Neurospora crassa OR74A: one gene and its partner. The protein of the gene in region 1 interacts with the protein of each later gene in a biochemical or structural test. Links are inferred from orthologs where the notes say so. Each region holds a gene or a part of one and is shown in the gene's direction. Other genes may lie near its edges.

Region 1 (4,058 bases):
ATTATGGTACAGAGCCCTGTCGTACGCAGAATGTACACTACACCGAGCTGTCAATCCCGCCATGGTTGAACGATGCGCCTTGCTTGTGTTTTGGTCCCTTCGTCTGATCTTTTGAAAGAGGGCTCCTGCATTCCGTCTGTCGTATAGTCTCCATAGTGAAACATCACAATGATGCAGTTGTGAACGGGGAAGAAGCGGGACATTGGTCACAGAATGTGTACTGCGTAGTGTTCTAAAGTAGTCAGAGAAGGCACCTGACTTGATCAAAGTGCCGTTCAATTCTCTTCGAAGCTGATATCGGATGGGTTATGGATGTCGTATTTGTCGCAATTGCTGTTGTAACGTATACCAGTCAGATTTAGTATTAATTTTGGGACCGGGAGCCAACCAAGCTAATATGATACAGCACAGACTCTCAATAGTACTGCGTACAGCAAGAGAACGAACTGAAAGCAGGCAGGCACTTTGGCACTGGATTGGCTATTGGGCCCCGTCCAGTTTCTGCCTAACAAAACGCTGAGCCTTCATTCCGACCTCTTCCACATTCACAGGGCGTAATATGGGAGGCGCGGTGTATCATGCCTTCCCTCGTAAATAGAGGTATGTAGAGGTAGAGGTACGGTGCGGTCCTGCCCGCATCATCAAGTATAAGCCTTTCGGTTACCTTACCTTACCGCAGCACGTTTGCCTTGCCCACGCAATGTCCACTGCAGTGCCGCCTGCATCCTATCCTGCCGTCGTAAGGTGTTGCCGGCGTCTTGCCTTGCCTGTTGGGGAACTGCAAATCAGCAGATTTTGTTTGTTTGAAAAGCAAGCCTGCATTCGGAGATCTTTGGATGACAGTTGGACATTGCCAGAGAAAAGGGCGCGCCCAGAAGCCACATGAAACTCCGCCCTCCAATGCCCTGGGCTGGCAGGCCTGGGACGCCTGGCCCTTGCCTGAGGTGGCTCGCTGTCCGACGGTGCAGTGAGAGAGCTCCAGTCATTTTTTGCCATCTCGCTCACCTTGGCACTGTGTCCGGCTTATTGCTTGGCCCGCACTGTGACACTGTGGATGGCGGCGGTGGATCACGGCTCCTCCACTTCCCGTCAGTTCGCCAGCTGGATGCCGCCAAGAACCAAGCCAAAAGAGCGCGCGCTGGCTGGGCCTGGTCGATCTGGCGAGCCTGGCTGGCACTTGGCGTTGCCGTCTCAAATCCTGCCAGTCCCCAGTCCCCCAGGTCGGTCGGCTGTCCAGAAGTCCCAGTCGGTCCCAGTCACCAAACTGCCTCCTCCTCCCTTCTCGCTGTCTCGTTTCCCTCTTCACATCGTCCTTTCCCTCGCCCCCCGTCTCACCACCGACGACCTAAAATTTCCCGGCGGCGACGACGACGGTAAGAGAACCTACCCCAACCACCAAAACAATCTCTTGTTTTTTTTCTTCCCCCGCATGCTGCACCATACATCAACACCAAGCCCGCGTCCATCAGCTTGCCGCTGCACGCTTCGTCTCGACTGCATTTTAACACATACCCGTACAGATTGAGCTGCATTTCATCGCCCCCGACGCTCCAACATCACTTAAGCAGCCTTCTTCGGCACGCACGCCCCTCTCGATTATTCATTGCCATCCTGGTCTCGACGACCCTTGAGCACAGCATTCGGTCTGCGACGACCGTTTACAAAAGGAGAACACATCCCGCCGAAGAGTGAGTTAAAACTTCCATCATCATTTCCGTCAGACGGGTTGTCGTTCCCAGCGAGCGAGGGAGGTTGCTGCACGCATTGTGGTGGTTCCACTCAGCTGCCGCCATGTATCGGTGAGCTGATTGTTGGCCCGTCCGCCAACCAATCTGCCCGCGCTGGCCGCATTTGCCCGCTGTTTGCCCGGATGCACACCGTCGCCATCGGTCACGACACCGACTTGATAGGCTTTTCAATAGCCTCGACACCCTTCTTGGCATGATGGTGGGAATGGCATCACTACAATGCTCCCCAAGGATGGCAGCGTCGCCCAGGCCATCGTTGAACACGTCCGTGTCGACATAGCCCTGATGGACAGTGTTGTCACGCCGTCCAGACGCTCCGTCTTCCAGGGCGATGCACGATGTGGATGTGTTTGCAGAGGTTTCTGGAAATGTTGCCGTCACCATTGACACATGGGCCACTTCATGGAGCAGTCGAACAACCTATTGTGACCGAGCCGGGCAAGGACTCCCACCCGAACACCTGGGACGACACTGGCCTTTCTCGACAGCTCAGCGTTCGACATCGTTGCGTATGCGTACCTTGATGGCCCTTTTACTGACATCTATCGGCTATAGTTACTGATCTTCTGGGATTCGTCTTTCTCCCCTATTAACCGCAAACATGACTACCATGGTACGCTTATCCGTCAATTCCGAATCACCACGGCCTCCTAGGCCTTTGGTTGCCAACGTCAAAGGTTGCATCCTGCTAACTGGAAGGCTAGGATCTCCGCGTCGGTAACAAGTACCGGATCGGTCGCAAGATCGGCTCTGGTTCTTTCGGTGACATTTACCTCGGCACCAACATCATCTCCGGTGAAGAGATTGCCATCAAGCTGGAGAGCGTGAAGGCCAAACACCCTCAACTAGAGTACGAGGCCCGCGTTTACAAGTCTCTCGCCGGTGGCGTTGGTATCCCCTTTGTCCGCTGGTTCGGCACTGAGTGTGACTACAACGCCATGGTCCTCGACCTTCTTGGCCCCAGCTTGGAGGATCTGTTCAACTTCTGCAACCGCAAGTTCTCTCTGAAGACTGTCTTGCTGCTTGCTGATCAGCTCATCTCCCGCATCGAGTACATCCATGCCAAGTCGTTCATCCACCGCGACATCAAGCCTGACAACTTCCTTATGGGGATTGGCAAGCGTGGCAACCAGGTCAACGTGATCGATTTTGGTCTTGCCAAGAAGTACAGAGATCCCAAGACTCACTTCCACATTCCTTACAGAGAGAATAAGAACCTTACTGGCACTGCCCGTTATGCCTCCATCAACACGCATCTCGGCGTCGAGCAGTCTCGCCGTGACGACATGGAGTCCCTTGGCTACGTCATGCTTTACTTTTGCCGCGGCTCCCTCCCGTGGCAGGGCCTTAAGGCTGCCACCAAGAAGCAGAAGTACGACCGCATCATGGAGAAGAAGATGACCACTCCTACCGAGGTTCTTTGCCGCGGCTTCCCCAACGAGTTTGCCATCTACCTCAACTACACTCGTTCCCTCCGCTTCGATGACAAGCCTGATTACAGCTATCTCCGCAAGATCTTCCGTGACTTGTTCGTCCGCGAAGGTTTCCAGTATGACTACGTCTTTGACTGGACCGTCTACAAGTACCAGAAGAACGCCCAGGCTATCCAGCAGGCTGCTGGCAACTCCAGCCAGCCCCAGCCTGCGGACTCCAAGGAGGCGGCCCAGGCTGCTGCTCGTAAGGACCCTCAGCAGGCCCTGAGGAGCGGATCCAGGAAGCCCATGACCGGCGAGACACCTGAGACCAGCCGTGCCGTCGGTGGCAGCGACAGGATGTGAGTTTGCCAGCCTAGCCCAGCATTCCTAGTAAGGAATCTTGTTTCCTTCGAGTTTGGTGTACTCAATAACGCTGGCCGGAGGTAGAATGCTGACATGATGGCTGACGTTCAGTTTGCGATAATAGGCTGCGCTCGGCTGCTAAAGGTCAAGGCGCTGGCTCCGGACATGTGGCCGGCAGGTATCGTCCTATGGAATGAGACTGCGGTTGCTCGCACATGGTATCTACTTGGAACAAGATCTTCGGCGGGTTGTTGGAGTAGCAGATTGCGCATTGGTCAAATGGTTTGATTCCTGCACCCGCCTTTCGTCATCCAACGTCCCTCGAGCGTCTGGATGGAGTGGAAGCGGATGGCTGTACCTGGCCAGCACCATCGACCGATGCATCTCCTCTACACAGCCAGACGGATTACTTGCGACAGATTGCTTCTCTTCGTTCTTCGGCATCTCTATCAGTTACTGCCCTTATTCATGGCTCGGACGGATCTTCGGTTTATGGCGGCAGTGCAGTTCGACTCTTGGTCGAATCTGTCTT
Region 2 (3,911 bases), on another chromosome or scaffold:
GTGCCTTGGCGGTTATCCACCCTTTTCTTGTCGCTAGGGATCTTCTTGTGAATCGACAACTCGACTGTGGGCGGCAGGTTCAGGACCGGGTCGTTGTATGATTCCTTGGCGTCCTCCCAAACGCCATTCTGTACAGCTTGTGAGAGCACTAAAAGGTCATCTTTCCTGATAACGTGAATATAGGCGCGGGAGGGTCGAGATGGCCGTGAGGGACTGTGACACATGATTGTGTGAGAAGCGCGTTGGGGAGAAGCTGCGGTGATGTACTTACTGCTGGGAGCTCTTGCCAGGCCAGTATGAAAACCAGTCAACCTTGCCATGGCCGACTTTCCATTCATCGCCGAGGATTTTGAAGAACTCTTCTTCGGTTAGCAGGGGAGGAAGTCGACGGACAACCACCTTTTCGCCCTCGGACTGAGGCTTGGTCTTGGGTGCGTTCTGGGCATCATTGGTGGCCTGGCCGGCAGCGGTGCCATTAGGTTTGCGCAGAAGCAGCTGGGGCGCCGCCATCATGGTTGAATTTTGAAGCTACCGTGGCTTGGAATGGTCGGGGTATGTGTAGTTTCTGGGTGGAGTCTCGAGCTAGTGTAGAAATCACAGCCTCATGCTTCGCTCACAGTATTGGCGGAATGATTGTCTATCGGTGGTTGATAGAGCTGTCTGTCGGCGTACTAAGTACTGGTGGTCGAGACCAGCGGGGGCTCGTGTCGTGATGGGAGACTCCGTCTTTGGAGAAACGACAGTTTACATCAAGCTGTCGATGTTGGTGAGAGTGGAGGGCGCGGCTGGCGCGAGCGGTGTTGGATGAGTGTTTCGGGTAACAAATCCAAAGAGCAATGACGGGATGCGATTGCTGAGTGAAGTGGAAAGGGTGGAGCTTGGTCTTTAAGGTACGGCGGTACCTACCGCTCAGCCTTATCGGATTCGATAAGAAATCCACAATCCAAGTGCCCCGCAATTCCGGGGATCCAGAACTTCGTTTGCTTTAAGGGAGTGCACAGACCCACAGCGGCTGAGGGGGGCAGCTCTCGGCGCCAATGTGCGCGCGTGATTTGGCCTGCAGCGCAATCCATTCAGGGCACTCGCCCACTGGCAAACCGCAGTTGGCCACGGGTCCCACGCAGTACCTTCACAGTACCAGTAGGTTTCCAGTGGGTGGGTGGCAGGCTGCCCGCCCGGTCACAGTTCGAGGTCGAGGTCGAGGTTGATTCCAGCCCCATCCATTCAACCTCACCTCAGCCATCCAGATCCCGCGCTCGGCATCGTCGTCATCCTTAGAATTTCATCCCAACAACAAACAACAACCCAACACACCCGACAACACAACTTAAGTCTAGCAGTGCCCTCCCACTTGCACTTGGTGGCCCCAGGACCCTTCAATCACGAATCCTTGCGACCCGCGATTCATCTAGCGACATTAACAATTGCGGAACCCAAGTTCCATCGCAGCCTTACACAAGCATCCCTTCGATTGATAAGATATTTCGCCCGCTGCTCGCTGCTCGCCCATCTTGCAACTACAGCCCGTACACCAAAAGGCTCGAGTCCGATTATATACAACCATCATGTCCACGATTCCAAAGCCGGGTCCGGCTAATCTTCGTCCCGGAGCCGGTCTAGATGAGTGGCTGGAGGAGGCGAAACAATGTCATTACCTTCCTGAGCCTGTCATGAAGCAGCTCTGCGAAATTGTCAAGGAAGTTCTTATGGAAGGTACTTGAGCACCAACTACTAGTCAGGATTACACATGCCCGCGCGCGCGCGCGCGTTCGCATCCCGTGTTCCCAAGGCGCGCACGACAAGGGAACTTGTCCAGCTGACTTGTGTCCCCACGTCATCAGAATCGAACATCCAGCCTGTTGTTACGCCAGTCACCATCTGCGGTGATATTCACGGCCAATTCTACGATCTCCTCGAACTCTTTCGCGTTGCTGGTGGCATGCCCGGTGAGACAAACGTCCAGGCGCCCAAGACCGCAACAACCGTCATCACATCCGAGGACATCGAGCCCCCAACGGAAATCACAGATCCCAACCTCAAGAAGAAGATCAAGAGCAGTACAGACAGTGAGGCTGGGGCTGGAAGCGAGAAGGAATCCCCAAGTGAAGAGACCCCCCAATCCAGCGCCAACACGGGCTCTCAATCGGCCGATACTCGCTTCGTCTTCCTCGGAGATTTCGTGGATAGAGGGTACTTCAGTTTAGAGACATTTACCCTTCTCATGTGTCTCAAGGCAAAGTACGAAGGCCCCCCGTTCTAGTTCTGGTTCGGTTCACGCTGCTGACACTTTTCGCCCAACAGATACCCAGATCGCATTGTTCTAGTGCGCGGTAATCACGAGTCCCGACAAATCACCCAGGTCTACGGTTTCTACGAGGAGTGCCAGCAAAAGTACGGCAACGCCTCTGTCTGGAAGGCTTGCTGCCAAGTGTTTGACTTTCTTGTTCTTGCCGCCATTGTCGACGGTACCGTTCTCTGCGTCCACGGCGGTCTCAGTCCCGAGATCCGCACGATTGACCAGATCCGCGTCGTTGCGCGTGCTCAGGAGATTCCGCACGAGGGTGCTTTCTGCGATCTTGTGTGGAGTGACCCAGAAGACGTCGATACATGGGCTGTCAGTCCACGTGGCGCTGGTTGGCTGTTCGGAGACAAGGTCGCGACAGAGTTCAACCACGTCAACGGTTTGACAACCATTGCAAGAGCGCATCAGCTGGTAAATGAGGGTTACAAGGTGGGTCATCACTTTTTGTTGCTCTCCACAGTTATGAGAAGGAATGCCAGCTAACCTGCGTTTCTCATCTAGTTCCACTTTGCCGAAAAGTCGGTCGTAACCGTATGGTCGGCACCCAACTACTGTTACCGTTGCGGTAACGTCGCATCCATCATGACGGTGGACCGCGACCAAAACACAAAGTTCAGCATCTTCTCGGCCGTGCCAGACGATCAACGGCATATCCCCGCAGGCCGAAGGGGGCTGGGTGACTACTTCCTATGACAGAACATCGAGGGCGCGAGGTGAGGTGAGAGGGCGGTGTTATGATTGTCTTGTTGTCAAGAAAGCATGTCGTTGCGTTATGGGCAGGTCACGTTTTGTCGTCGGGAATTGGTGGCAACCACTCCAAGGATCCTAATTTTCATGTATGACATTCTGCCTGGGATTTATACTTGGCGTTTCCGAGGCGTTATACTACCCAATTTTGTGTTTCAAGTGCCAGAATGAGGCTATGAAAGTGCCAGCGACCACTATCCCGTTGTTATGGCTTTTACCGTTGTTCAATCATTAAGTGTTGGAGCCAACACCAAAGCGAAGTGGCGGACTTGATGATAGCTATGAAGGGAGAGTCGCAGGGAAGATGATTTTGGCTAAACACAAATAATAGGGGCAACTGGAGACAACCAAAACACAAGATTGTGGTCTGTGCGTGATTGTTTCGATCTCTTGATTGGCTCCCAACAATACAAGGCCTCTCTTGTCACCAACATCCAACAAATAGCCAGAGCCAGTGCAAGAGCTGACCCTCGAGGTCACGGGCATGAACGAACATGAAAGGTAAGAGGAAACGAAGAAAAAGGACGGGAAACTAAGGAGAAAAAAAAAACATACAACACCAGGGATTCGCTGGTCGTCACCGACCCAACTACTAGTCTGGCCCTCACTGGCTTATCTATGGGAGAGCGGACGGGATCCCGAGTTTTCCAGTGGGTATGGTCGTATGTACTTGTCTTACTTTCTTTCATGGGTTTATAATACCTAGCACAACTGAAATCAGCCACATTATTCTGGTGCGGTGCTGGCAGAGGTGTAGACATATACTATGAAGACAGACACTTCGTTGTATCTCAGTCAGTAGTATCAAAGGACACTCGTCCGTCTACCACTGCACTCTTCTTCTAATTGGTTTTACCTAATC

The links. The genes of interacting proteins can lie anywhere in the genome.
Region 2: the proteins of ck-1a (region 1) and tng form a complex in vitro, tested with the Saccharomyces cerevisiae proteins (2 studies listed by BioGRID). The link is inferred for Neurospora crassa OR74A from reciprocal best matches to the Saccharomyces cerevisiae genes HRR25 and SIT4.

What each region holds. Positions count from the first base shown.
Region 1 is NC_026501.1:7,562,089-7,566,146, forward strand, and holds the start of ck-1a (casein kinase I), read left to right. Parts: upstream 1-1,257; 5' UTR 1,258-1,373; intron 1,374-1,520; 5' UTR 1,521-1,688; intron 1,689-2,303; 5' UTR 2,304-2,349; coding exon 2,350-2,361; intron 2,362-2,452; coding exon 2,453-3,522; coding exon of another isoform or gene 3,523-3,526; exon of another isoform or gene 3,527-3,637; coding exon of another isoform or gene 3,638-3,647; exon of another isoform or gene 3,648-3,650; coding exon 3,651-3,723; 3' UTR 3,724-4,058. UniProt on the Saccharomyces cerevisiae protein: Protein kinase which phosphorylates serine and threonine residues. Can use casein as a substrate. Phosphorylates elongator complex member ELP1/IKI3 on 'Ser-1198' and 'Ser-1202' which promotes the tRNA modification function of the complex.
Region 2 is NC_026502.1:724,311-728,221, reverse strand, and holds tng (serine/threonine-protein phosphatase ppe1), read left to right. Parts: upstream 1-1,166; 5' UTR 1,167-1,565; coding exon 1,566-1,713; intron 1,714-1,841; coding exon 1,842-2,238; intron 2,239-2,301; coding exon 2,302-2,731; intron 2,732-2,803; coding exon 2,804-2,995; 3' UTR 2,996-3,403; downstream 3,404-3,911. Other genes in the region: NCU03435 (hypothetical protein), read right to left, coding at 1-213, 272-513. UniProt on the Saccharomyces cerevisiae protein: Involved in the dephosphorylation of the large subunit of RNA polymerase II. Is required in late G1 for normal G1 cyclin expression, bud initiation and expression of certain genes that are periodically expressed during late G1.